Linked DNA regions of Cricetulus griseus. The protein of the gene in region 2 purifies or fractionates together with the protein of the main gene of each other region. This does not show direct contact. Links are inferred from orthologs where the notes say so. Each region holds a gene or a part of one and is shown on either strand. Other genes may lie near its edges.

Region 1 (3,650 bases), on a different chromosome or scaffold from region 2:
ATGATTGATGTAGTGGTTTCTTAACTACCCTGAAGACAGCTTTTTTAATGACTGTAATATTCAGTTCCCACAGCTGAACACTGAGATTCATTCATATCGTCTCCAGCTCGAGAATTGCCTAGGAGATGCTCAAGTTCAGCTTTCTGGACTAAGCTTTCTAGGCACATAAGCTGAGTTTGGTCTGTCCTTGCTGACCTCTATCTTCAGAAGAGGCTCACCTTTCATGAGCCTGTCATTCCTTCCCCATTGTTTGTTTTGAAAACTTCTTAAAGATTTCTCTTTAGAGAGCAATGTGAACAGTTCATTAGGTTATCCATATGAGTGGTATCATTCATGCTGTGTCAGATGTAGCCACACCATTCTGAGTGGACGGTGCATAACCTCAAGGGTTTGCTGCTAGTAACACCACTTTGCTTTTCTTTCACAGAACTACTGCACAGCCAAAACATTGTACATATCTGATTCAGACAAGAGAAAACACTTCATGTTGTCTGTAAAGATGTTCTATGGCAACAGTGATGACATTGGCGTGTTCCTCAGCAAGCGGATAAAAGTCATCTCCAAACCTTCCAAAAAGAAGCAGTCATTGAAAAATGCTGACTGTATGTATGCTCAAGTTTCCTTATTTGTTCCCAGTTATCACATTACATTAATGAGACAAACTTTTTAAAACCTAAATTCATTGTTTTTGTTTTTTGGCCTTACTGTGTTTTACATTTAAGTATAAATAAGTAGTGTTGGGTGTTGGTGACGCGCACCTTTAATCCCAGCACTCAGGAGGCAGAGGCAGGTGGATCTCTGTGAGTTCGAGGCCAGCCTGGTCTCCAGAGCGAGTGCCAGGATAGGCTCCAAAGCTACACAAAGAAACCCTGTCTCGAAAAACAAAAAAAAATAGTGTCTGGCTTAATGAAGTGATTCATTCTCAGTTCGTGTTCTGAGAATCTGTTACTTCATTTCATTAGGATTACTTTAGAGTGGTTTCTTACTGTTCCAGGGAAATGGAGGGAATTTTCTCCTTTTGTCTCATTGACTGGGAGGGAAGATAAATGTTAAGCACCTGATGCTGTGGGCCAGTGATAATAAATGTCCTACAGTGCCCAAGGTAGTTCCCATTCCAAAAAAATCTATCCTTCCAGAATGGCGGAAGTACCCGTTTCCAAAAACATCATAGTATGCTCTGGAAAGCCAGGTAAGACACTAAACCAAATGTCTAAAGGTCTCTGCAGCAGGAGCTGCTGTCTCATGGCAGATTGTTAAACTACCAAGGCTGTCTGGGTACTGTCTGTGAGTTTACATTTCAGCACATTTGAAATTGGTTGACTGACTTGTATGTTTTTTGTTGTATAAACTTTTAAGTTTATGTAAAAGGAAGAAAGTAGCATCATGCAACAATCTCCCCAACCTCAGTAATTTTACTAACTCTGTTTTGTGGTGGGTCATTAACAGCACCTCTTCCCTTTCTAACTGCTGGAATATTTGTAAATCTCCAACATCCTAATCTTTCAACTAACATTTCTGTAGTACTGACTCTTAATGCATGGCTTTTTTTTTTTTTTTTTTTTTTTTTTTTAGCACCAGACCTCACAAAGTTGACAGTCTTTTAATGTCATTTAATATTCCATGAGTAGATTAGTCATAGTGACTCGGCAATCTTTTTTTATATACAGTTTGTTGTTGTTATATTTTGTTCCATTTATAGTTAGCTTGTTCAAACATAGAATTAAGTAGGCCCATAAATTTTAATCTGTGATAGTTTTTCTATTCTCTCCTTACCTCCTTTAATTACTTATTGAAGAAACTGGGTCATTTTGAATCCTATGGAATTTTTATACTCTGGATTTGATTCGTCCCTTGTTTCTTTGCCTTAGGTTTTCTATGGCCTGATGATTAAAGACTTAAAATTAGCTGGTCATTCTCACTGGCTTAGAAATCGTAGAATATCTGGTTACCCCCTCCTTTTTGCCACATTAATACTGTAATAAGTTCAGCAGTTTGTTTAATTTCCTCCTAAGGCTCCTGAGAAACCTGTAAACTAGTGGTTTAGTGGCCTTTACTTCATCGAGGTACACACAGTACTGATTTTCCAATTCTTTTATATAACTTCCACATACTTAGTCTTTATTCCTATCAGTTATTTAATATGGAAAATTCCGTACCACTGAAGCAAACAGAATTACATAATAATGGAAATCCTAACTTCAATAGTGACTTAATTTCAGGCCAGTCTTATTTCATCATAATTCATTCTTCTAGTTCAGTCTGCTTTCCTACTTATTTGTAGTTTGATATAATCTCAGACATTTGCTTCCTATAGCTACAACAGATAGAATTTCTTATTTTTTAATAGTATAATACCATGATCATAAGAAAATAGCATGCAAAGCAAGCATAAGGAGAGATGCTTCTAATGTTCTGTCAGTGTTCAAATTTTGAATGGTCTAAAATAATTGAATTTTTAACCAAGTGAGTCAAAATTGAAATTCACTGGATGTTACAATATACAGACAACATTGCCATCTACATGGGTATTCTTAATCTATGTTCCCATGCAGTTTACCTGAGGCATTAGGAATTTATGCATTCAGATTTGTTAAGTTCATTCTTTTGGTGTGGTTCAATGTATGTTCTATAAATTGGTAATGTTTAGAAGAAACAGCTGCCACAGTGAACAATGGAAAGACAGACTTCATTTAGTACTCTTTCAGGAGAAGAGACTTTAGTATAGAGTCATGTTCACTTTCAATATAACAAAGGCAAGTTCCAGTTTTCAGCCAAGGAGGAAAATGAGGGGCCTAATGGATGGAAAAAAATCAATCAATCACTCAATCAAGGACAAGGGAGTTTTTGCTAAAGCAACTTTATAGGAGTCCTGATATGACAGCCGGAGTGATTCCTGTATCAAGGGAAGGGTGTGACTGATTTGCTAAAAACCAGACTTAGAAGGTTGTGCTGGGGCCCAGGTGAAAACTGATAGAAAGGAATGCTGGGAGGAGGACCTCTGAAGTTTGTTCAGGAGGACAGTTTGTCATGGTCATATTTAAGCTTGTTCTTTCTTTGTTTTGGTAAGTCCTCATTGATGGCCATATGCTCTTGTGTACCAGGTCATATCTGGCATCTTGTCTGGTATTCAGGCAGTTTCCAGTTCAGATTTCAGAGGGCTGAGGTTTTAGTTTGGGGCGGGTATATTTTTTTAACTTCTGAATATTTTGTTAAGTTGATGTGCCTTTTACATCTAAAGTACATCTTTATTTTTAAATTTTACAAATTATAAAACAGGTATTGTTTTTCAGCCAGGCGTTGGTGGCGCACGCCTGGTCTACAGAGCAAGTGCCAGGATAGGCTCCAAAGCTACACAGAGAAAACCCTGTCTCGAAAAACAAAAAACCAAAAACAAACAGGTATTTGGGAGATTGCAGAATTCCCTAAAATCATAATGCAGTGGGACTGCCTGTAGAGACCTTTCAACATGTATTTTATAGGGTTTTAATGAAAGTACCTAGAAGCGCTCCTGTGCTCATACAGAAGTGTGTTTGTTGCTTAGTAGGACCACAGTGTATAGAGTGTTTCACCATTGGCCTTTTCATTCAGTAATATTCCAGGAATTTATGTAGACATAGTTGAAATACATGAATGTTACTATAATCAATTTA
Region 2 (3,650 bases):
CCAGAAGAGGTTTTGGAGTATATCCTGTCCTTCCTCTCACCGTATCAGGAACACAAAACTGCAGCTCTGGTCTGCAAACAGTGGTATCGGCTTATCAAAGGTACTATGGAAAAGACGGGTTATTTCAAGTGTTTTAAAGAGGTGTGTGTGTGTGTGTGTGTGTGTCTGTCTGTCTGTCTGTCTGTCTGTCTGTCTGTCTGTGTATGTATATGCTAACATGTGTGCAGGTACCCATGAGGACAGAAGAGGGTATCAGATCCCTGGATCTTGATTTACAGTAGGCTGCGAGCCACTTACTGTGGGAGCTGGGATTGAATCCAGTTCTGTGGAAGAGCAGCAAGAGTTCCTAACTGCATAAACATGATTGTGTTATGGTTATTTTATTGAGTAATTTAGTTTTGGATTCCCCCTCTTTTCATTTGTTTTTATCTTTATTAATAGAAAACTTATGATATATTTTGATCATGATTCCCCCTCTCGCATCTCCTCCCAGATCCTCTCCACTTAACTACTCTTCCAATACCAGGCCTTCTTTTTCTTTCTTTCTTTCTTTTTTTTAATTTGTGATTTTTTTTCCAACATAATATTTTTATTGATTTTTTTTCTTGGGAATTTCACATCATGCACCCTGATTATACTTACTTCTCAGTCCTCCAAAGTTTGCCCCTCTACCTTTGTGACCTCCCCAACAATAAGAAGAAGAAAACAACAAAAGAAAAACATGTCCAATTTGTGTTGTCCTTATACTCACTGGAGCATGGTCAAACTCCTGGTGGCCAGCCCTTAAAGAAAACTGAGTCCTTCTCCAGCCACATCCCTGCTAGAAGCCATCAACTATGGAGAGCTACTCTTCAGCACCCTTGTCACAATTTCTAAGAGTTCTCTTTGATCACTCTGTTGACATCCGTGGTCTGTACTGCCACTGGAGACCATGCTGAGGTTTGTGGCACGTGCTGAGGCCAGAGACCATGTGGATGTCTATGGTCCTTACCGTCACTGGAAACCTTGTGGACGTTCATGATCCGTGCTTCTGCTGACTGTAAAGGGCAAGGAAGCTACCTTTGCAGTGGTATCAAGGACTGCAGACTCACAGTTGAGAAAGAGGGATATAGATGGCATCTATGACAATCCCTACCCCTACTCCCCATCCCCCCAAAAAATAATAGCCTGGACAGAAAGCCATGGAAAAGAACTCTTAGACTCCCTTTTTTCTTTTCTCCCTTAAAGACATTATGGCTGTAAAAATTAGTATTAGATAAGTTAACACATTTTTCTTATCTTGGTTAATTTTATGAACATCTAGAACATTAATGTATAATACTATACAGTTGTATAATAGTAATAGTATTTAATTAATTTGTAGTTTCAAAATGATGGTTGTTTTGTTTTTAAAGATTGATTTATTTGGATGGGTGGTGCTGGGACACCCCTGTAACCCCAGCACTTGGGAGGCAGAGGCAGACAGATCTGTGAGTTTGAGGCCAGCCTGGTCTACAAAGCAAGTTCCATGTGTATGAGTGTTTTGCCTGCATGTATTGTCTGTGCCTGGTGCCTATGGTGGTCAGAAGAGGACATCATATCTCTAGAACTGGAGTTACAGACAGCTGTGTGCCTGGTGTGTCTGTCTTTATCTGTGTTTGTATATGTGTGTGTGTGTGTTGTAAGTACCTGTTAGTGTGTGGCTGTAGGTATGTGAGTACATGGATGTGGAACCTGAGGCTGACTTCCATTGCCTTTCCTCAAGTGCTCTTGACCTTCTTTTTTCTTTCTTTCTTTCCTCTTTTTTTTTTTTTTTTTTTTTTTTTTTTTACATTAACCATGGTTTATTATAGGGAGGGAAATCCAGAGGGAGAGAAATGGAAGAACAGAGCAGGGCAGAGAATAAGAGAGAAGACAGAGCTTGACCTTCATTTTTTTTAAAGATTTTATTTATTATGTATACAGTGTTCTACCTGCATGTGTGCCTGCACACCAGAAGAGGGCACCAGATCTCATTATAGATGGTTGTGAGCTACCATGTGGTTGCTGGGAATTGAACTCATGACCCCTGGAAGAGCAGCCAGTGCTCTTAACCTCTGAGCCATCTCTCCAGCCCCTTAAATAATTTTTTTATGAAGCAGAAGTGGGGGATAGTAGAGACATTTTAATATATGCTAAACATAAAGGCAAGAGAAAGAAGAGTATGCTGGAGAGATGGCTTAACAGTACATAGTGTTCTTCCAGAGCACCCCCTGTACTCAGGTGGCAGAGGCAGGCGGATCTCTGTGAATTCAAAGTGAGCTTGGTCTGCAAATTGAGTTCCAGGCCAGCCAGGGCTACACAGTGAGACTCTGTCTCAAAAAGAAAAAAAGAAAGACGATGCTTTCCCAAAAAAATAAAGATGGGGCCACAACACTCCTTGAGCTTGGGCCCACACTTGGGTGTACCTGTGTTCTCAGTGTCTCTGAGTACTTTGTGCTCTCAGACTCTCATGATTTTATTTTAGAATCACAGATGAGTGTGTCTGTGAGAGTGTATGCCGGGTGTGTAGGTCTCCTCAGAGGCCAAAGGTGTCAGCTTTCCCCTGAACTTCACTTATTTACTAATATTCAATACATTTCATTTTATGTTTGGTGTTTCATGTTAGGGTTTCTCTGTGTATCCCTGGCTGTCCTGGCACTCATTCTGTAGACCAGGCTGATCTCAAACTCAGAGATCAGCCTGCCTCTACCTCCTGAGTGCTGGGATTAAAGGAGTGTGCCACCACCAACTGGAGCTGGAGTTACAGATTGTTCTGAGTCTCTGTGTAGGTGCTGGGAAGTAAACATGGGTCCTCTGGAAGAGCAGCCAAGTGTTCTTTTAAACACTGAGCTATGTCTCCAGCCCACCCAAGCTCTTAATTTTTAAGACACAGCCTTTAGACACACACTCAACATTTCATAATCTGTTATATAATAATCTATGTTCTTACCTAAGCTGGGGAATTCCTCATTGCCATGCTCTAACTGCAGAGCTTTTTGAGCAGCTGTTACATTATAGACACTGCTTTATCATATTCCTTCACAAAGATAAGTTACTCCCACCCCCTTTGCTTTGTAGTAATGCTACCCATTATCTTTATTGCCACATGATATAACCAAAGTGGACAAGGGTTGTCGTGTGAGCTGATTTAGTAAACTTGTGCACATCTCTGAACCTCCTGTGCCTTGGTAAAATGTAGTTCTTTCTATCTTGACATTTCCTGATTCTGTTTCCTTTCTTTGAATGAAAATGAGAGAAATTTGGACTTCTCAAAACATTTATGACTTTACACAAGTGATAAAACAGTTAAAAGCTACAATTTTAATGATTTTTTCCCTCCACAAATTAGGTATCCAAGCTGATGCCTCTGGTTTTTTCATCTTTAGGTGTAGCCCACCAGTGTTACCATGGTTTCATGAAGGCTGTCCAGGAAGGAAACATTCAGTGGGAGAGCAGGACTTACCCTTATCCTGGAACCCCCATCACTCAGCGGTTCTCCCACAGTGAGTATCCACATTGGGAAAGCAGGTCCCATGCTGCCTGTACTTGTGTTTCTAGAAACTGTTTGGGAGGCTTGCATTTTGTCTGTCTTTTTAATGAAGAGAATGTAAAATGAGGGTTTCTAACAGAATTAGGAAAAAGTGAATCTA
Region 3 (4,091 bases), about 370 Mb from region 2:
ACCTGATACATACTCAAGATATTTGTTGAATAATGAATAAGTATGTCCTCAGTATCTTAATTAACTGTAGATTTCTAGCATCCCATAGGGAATTTGTTAACACATAATAAATGAATGACAGTTTTAACATGGGAGGCAGAACTTGGACAAACACATACAGGCAGGCCCAGCCAGGCTGTCACACATTTTCTTTGTGCACGTTAAAGCTGTGGTGTTGTTTCTGGAAGTATTGCCCTGCTCAGCAATGACATTAACAACACTCCATTACTCTCCAATAAGTATCTCTTTTAAAAGGATATGTGACATTACAAATATAACTCTTTTGTTGTCCTGTTGTGGGAACTGGAACACCACGGCGTTCTACTTCTACCTCCCAAGTCCTAGGATTATAGGACTAATAAAAATATAAAAAATTCAAGGTGATATATTTCAGTCATGCCTCTGCTAGTTTAGGAGATAGAACCATGGAGGCCTGCACTAAACGTGGGAGCATGTTGTTTAGCTCGATGGAAATGAGCGGTAAGATTATCAGAATGCCTCATCCAAATTCAAGTCCAGCCACTACAGATAAACTAGTTTAACTGTAGTTCAAGCAGCCAAATTGGGATAGGAAATGGGGAGAAAGGGACGACATTTAGGACTGGCTGGTTAGGAGAGGTAATATGGCATCTCCCAGGCTCTTAATTAAGCGTTCTCCATCTCTTTCTGGTGAGAAAGCGAAGGCAGAGCTGCAGAATGTCTGTTAGGTCTGGGGCAGAACATTCAAGCCTCTTCTCTCCCCATCAAATCATTTCCCAAACTCATTGGGAACTCGGCTGGTGCCCGGGCTCTGGGAAACCTGGCCGCAGGCCTCCAGGACACTGCCACACCGCGTAGCCCCAAAGCTGGCCACCACCAGAGGAAGGCCCGTGTGGAGTCTCGGGTTTCCACAGACCCGCCCAAGCCCCTTCCATCGCAGCACCGGAGGGCAGCGCTGTGAGAATGGACCAGGTGCAAGTCCCGGCAAAGAAGGGCAGCCACCGCCCCAGATGAAGGAATCAGGCCAAGAGGGTGCCCTGAAGGCGAGCAGCGTGAAACCTCACGGACATTCCCACCGGCTGTCTCACATAGTTCGGCCCCGCCGGGCCCCGCCTCAAGCCTACTCCCCAGCGGAGGGCGAAGAACATCCGCCTGCGCCTTTAAGGGGCGTGGCGAAGGCTCCGCCCCTTCCACCCGCGCGCGCCAATAAGGGGAGGGGTGCGGGAGGAGGAGCCTGAGGTGGGGAGCAGGAGGCGACGTGTGACCCGGTGCGCAAGCGCAGTTGCCGGGTGTTCGTGTGTTTCCAAAATGGCGGCAGCGATGGATGTGGATACCCCCAGCGGCACCAACAGCGGCGCGGGCAAGAAGCGCTTTGAAGTGAAAAAGGTTGGGTCTGGCCAGCACTTTCCTCAGGGAAGCTAGAGAGGTGTGGATATGGCTGGCAGGCCCCAGGACGAGCGGGGCGCGGGGGAAAGAGCTTCATTTCAGGGCGTTCCTGGGACCGGGTACCACGAAAAGGAAGCTGGGGGGCGGGCTTTAGGATTGATGGGCATGATGGTGACCCAGTCTCTGAGGCCATATAAGTTTCGCTGGGGTAGCTGAGGGGCCAATCGCAGGATGTCTTACTGAAATACTCTGCGTCGACTTGGTTGCGGGAGCCAAGCGCTTGAGCTGTCACTGAATTGACTGAGAGGTGGGGGAAGGACAGGGTGGGGTGGGTGGAATGGAGGCTCTCGGAGAGACTGCGGCGGGTGGAGGATGGGGCAGTGCGGAGAAAGCCGGGAGCGTGAGCCCCTACCGCAGAGGAGGCTCTCAGGAGCCCTGTCGGTCGGTGTTCTCCTTGCCCCGCCCCTTCCTGGATCCTTGAGTCTATTGACTCGGAGAGACCTGGTGTGGGTCCTCGATTGTATGGAGGCCTCCATTAGGCTCTAAGGCCCTAGTCTCGAGTATAAGACTTGGTTCTTCAGAAATGTCTACTGCTTGTCACGTATAGGTTTTGCCAGTCCCATAGTTCTGTAACGTCCGGATACCCTTCTATCAAAATCAGTAGTTACAAAGCTTCGTGGGCTTTGTTTTAAAAGCAAGCCCAGAACTTGTGGCATTTAGGAAAGTGGAATACTAATTGTTCATGATTTGGGAGCAGGAAAGCAAAAATGTCGAAAGTCTTTTTGCATGCTGTTCCCTTCATAGTTTGCCAACAGTTTGAGAGAAAGGTGTCAGTTCCTACCTCAGAATACATAAATCTGTAAAAATGAAGATATTGTAGTCGGAGAGATGTTTTCATGTATTTTTGGAGCGTGTCGCTGAGCACACCCTCCACCCCACCCCCCTTTTCTGGCATCTCATTGTGGCCATTGCTGCTCAGTTACAGCCAGCAGCCATATTGAAGAATAGAAGTAATCGTTTTTTTTTCAACCCCCCGAGTTGATGCTGTGGTATAAAAAGTGATGTAGAAGTTACTGAACTTCTGAGACTTGAATTTGAAAGAGCCCTTGAAAGGGGTGTCTGTCAATATGTATGTATAATTGCAGAAGCCAGTTGAACTACTTTTAGATCGACTTGCTTACTAGAATTAATAGTTTGGACATATAAAAGTTGACAACATCAGTTTCCAGGATAAGAGGGAAAGAAAATTGTAGTGGATTCTACTTTGCCATGAATTAATCTGTTAAGATTTAAGTGATGACCTTGTTCTGTGTACTGAAGCTAGGTAGGTAACTGGCTATCCGGCTTATCCCACGATTATCCACATTATGATCCTGTCATCATTTTACTCCATTCTGTTCACCTCCTTATGTGTCCAAAACTGCTTGAAGAGCAGAGACTTCTGCAGATTTTGAGTCCTTCCACAACTGCCAGGGAAAGCTCCACAATAATTCAAGTTTGTACTTCTTTAAATCTAAAACCGGTGTTTAAAAAATATTTCTAATTTGCTTACATTGGTTGGACTAGCTAAATTATTTTACACTATAGACAGAAAATTGAAGCATCCCATGTTTACATCTTCAGATGAATGAGGAAGCATACATGTGGTTTGCTGTTGTCCTCTGATGTAGTACAAATAGTATAATCCAAAAACATTCTTTCTTTGATAGCCCCTAAGGCCAGGGAGTTGGTAGCTTGAACTGAAACCTGAAATCCTGTTACATTACTAGGAAAATGCATTGTTAACCCCCTTTGTCTTTGCAGTGGAATGCAGTAGCCCTCTGGGCCTGGGATATTGTGGTTGATAACTGTGCCATCTGCAGGAACCACATTATGGATCTTTGTAAGTAACTCAGGGAGGACGGAGAGAAATGGAAAAGGTTACAGAAATGGTGGTCATCCTGATGTGACCAATTTTCTTCTTTACAAGTAGATAGATACAAAGCAGGGTCAAAACCCTTGGGCATGAGTGCATCTCATCCGTTGGTGTGTTTGAAATAAATTTATTTTGTTCTTTGAGACACAGTTTCTCTGTGTAGCCTTGGCTGTACTAGAACTACTTTGTATACCAGCTGGCCTCAAACTCAGATCCATCTTCTTCTGCCTCCTGAGGTCTGGGATTAAATGCCTGAGCCACCAGTACTCAGCTCCACTCAAAATTATTTTTATTATTAAGTTAAATAGTTAAAACTATTTTTCGACGGGCGGGCGTTGGTGGCACATGCCTTTAATCCCAGCACTTGGGAGGCAGAGGCAGGCAGATCTCTGTGAGTTCAAGGCCAGCCTGGTCTTCAGAGCGAGTGCCAGGATAGGCTCCAAAGCTACACAGAGAAACCCTGTCTCAAAAAACCAAAACAAAACAAAACAAAACAAAAAACAATTTGCCCAAACGGTTGCTATCAACCGTTTCAAATAAAGTTATTTTTTTAAATAATGTCTTAGGAGGCATCCCCAGGTCTCAGAATAAATTATTCATTGTAAAGCCAACAAGATCCCATTTAGAATGAGTTATAGGAAGAGATGTTGTTTCTTCCCATCTTACACAGACACAATAGTGAAAGAAAGTGACCTTTGAAGGTAGATAAACCGTGCATACCTGTAATTCCAGCATTTGGGAGGCAGTAACAGGAGTATTGTGGCAAATTACA

What was found.
Region 1: the proteins of Fbxo42 (region 2) and Rbpj purify together in Homo sapiens (affinity purification with mass spectrometry; 3 studies listed by BioGRID and IntAct, counting the BioPlex papers as one, with this or other methods). This does not show direct contact. The link is inferred for Cricetulus griseus from reciprocal best matches to the Homo sapiens genes FBXO42 and RBPJ.
Region 3: the proteins of Fbxo42 (region 2) and Rbx1 purify together in Homo sapiens (affinity purification with mass spectrometry; 4 studies listed by BioGRID and IntAct, with this or other methods). This does not show direct contact. The link is inferred for Cricetulus griseus from reciprocal best matches to the Homo sapiens genes FBXO42 and RBX1.

Annotation. Positions count from the first base shown.
Region 1 is NW_023276807.1:121,905,097-121,908,746, forward strand, and holds part of Rbpj (recombining binding protein suppressor of hairless), read left to right. Parts: intron 1-427; coding exon 428-602; intron 603-3,650. UniProt on the Homo sapiens protein: Transcriptional regulator that plays a central role in Notch signaling, a signaling pathway involved in cell-cell communication that regulates a broad spectrum of cell-fate determinations.
Region 2 is NC_048595.1:12,081,657-12,085,306, reverse strand, and holds part of Fbxo42 (F-box only protein 42), read left to right. Parts: coding exon 1-100; intron 101-3,386; coding exon 3,387-3,503; intron 3,504-3,650. UniProt on the Homo sapiens protein: Substrate-recognition component of some SCF (SKP1-CUL1-F-box protein)-type E3 ubiquitin ligase complex. Specifically recognizes p53/TP53, promoting its ubiquitination and degradation.
Region 3 is NC_048595.1:378,619,629-378,623,719, forward strand, and holds the start of Rbx1 (E3 ubiquitin-protein ligase RBX1), read left to right. Parts: upstream 1-1,247; 5' UTR 1,248-1,326; coding exon 1,327-1,404; intron 1,405-3,207; coding exon 3,208-3,286; intron 3,287-4,091. UniProt on the Homo sapiens protein: E3 ubiquitin ligase component of multiple cullin-RING-based E3 ubiquitin-protein ligase (CRLs) complexes which mediate the ubiquitination and subsequent proteasomal degradation of target proteins, including proteins involved in cell cycle progression, signal transduction, transcription and transcription-coupled nucleotide excision repair.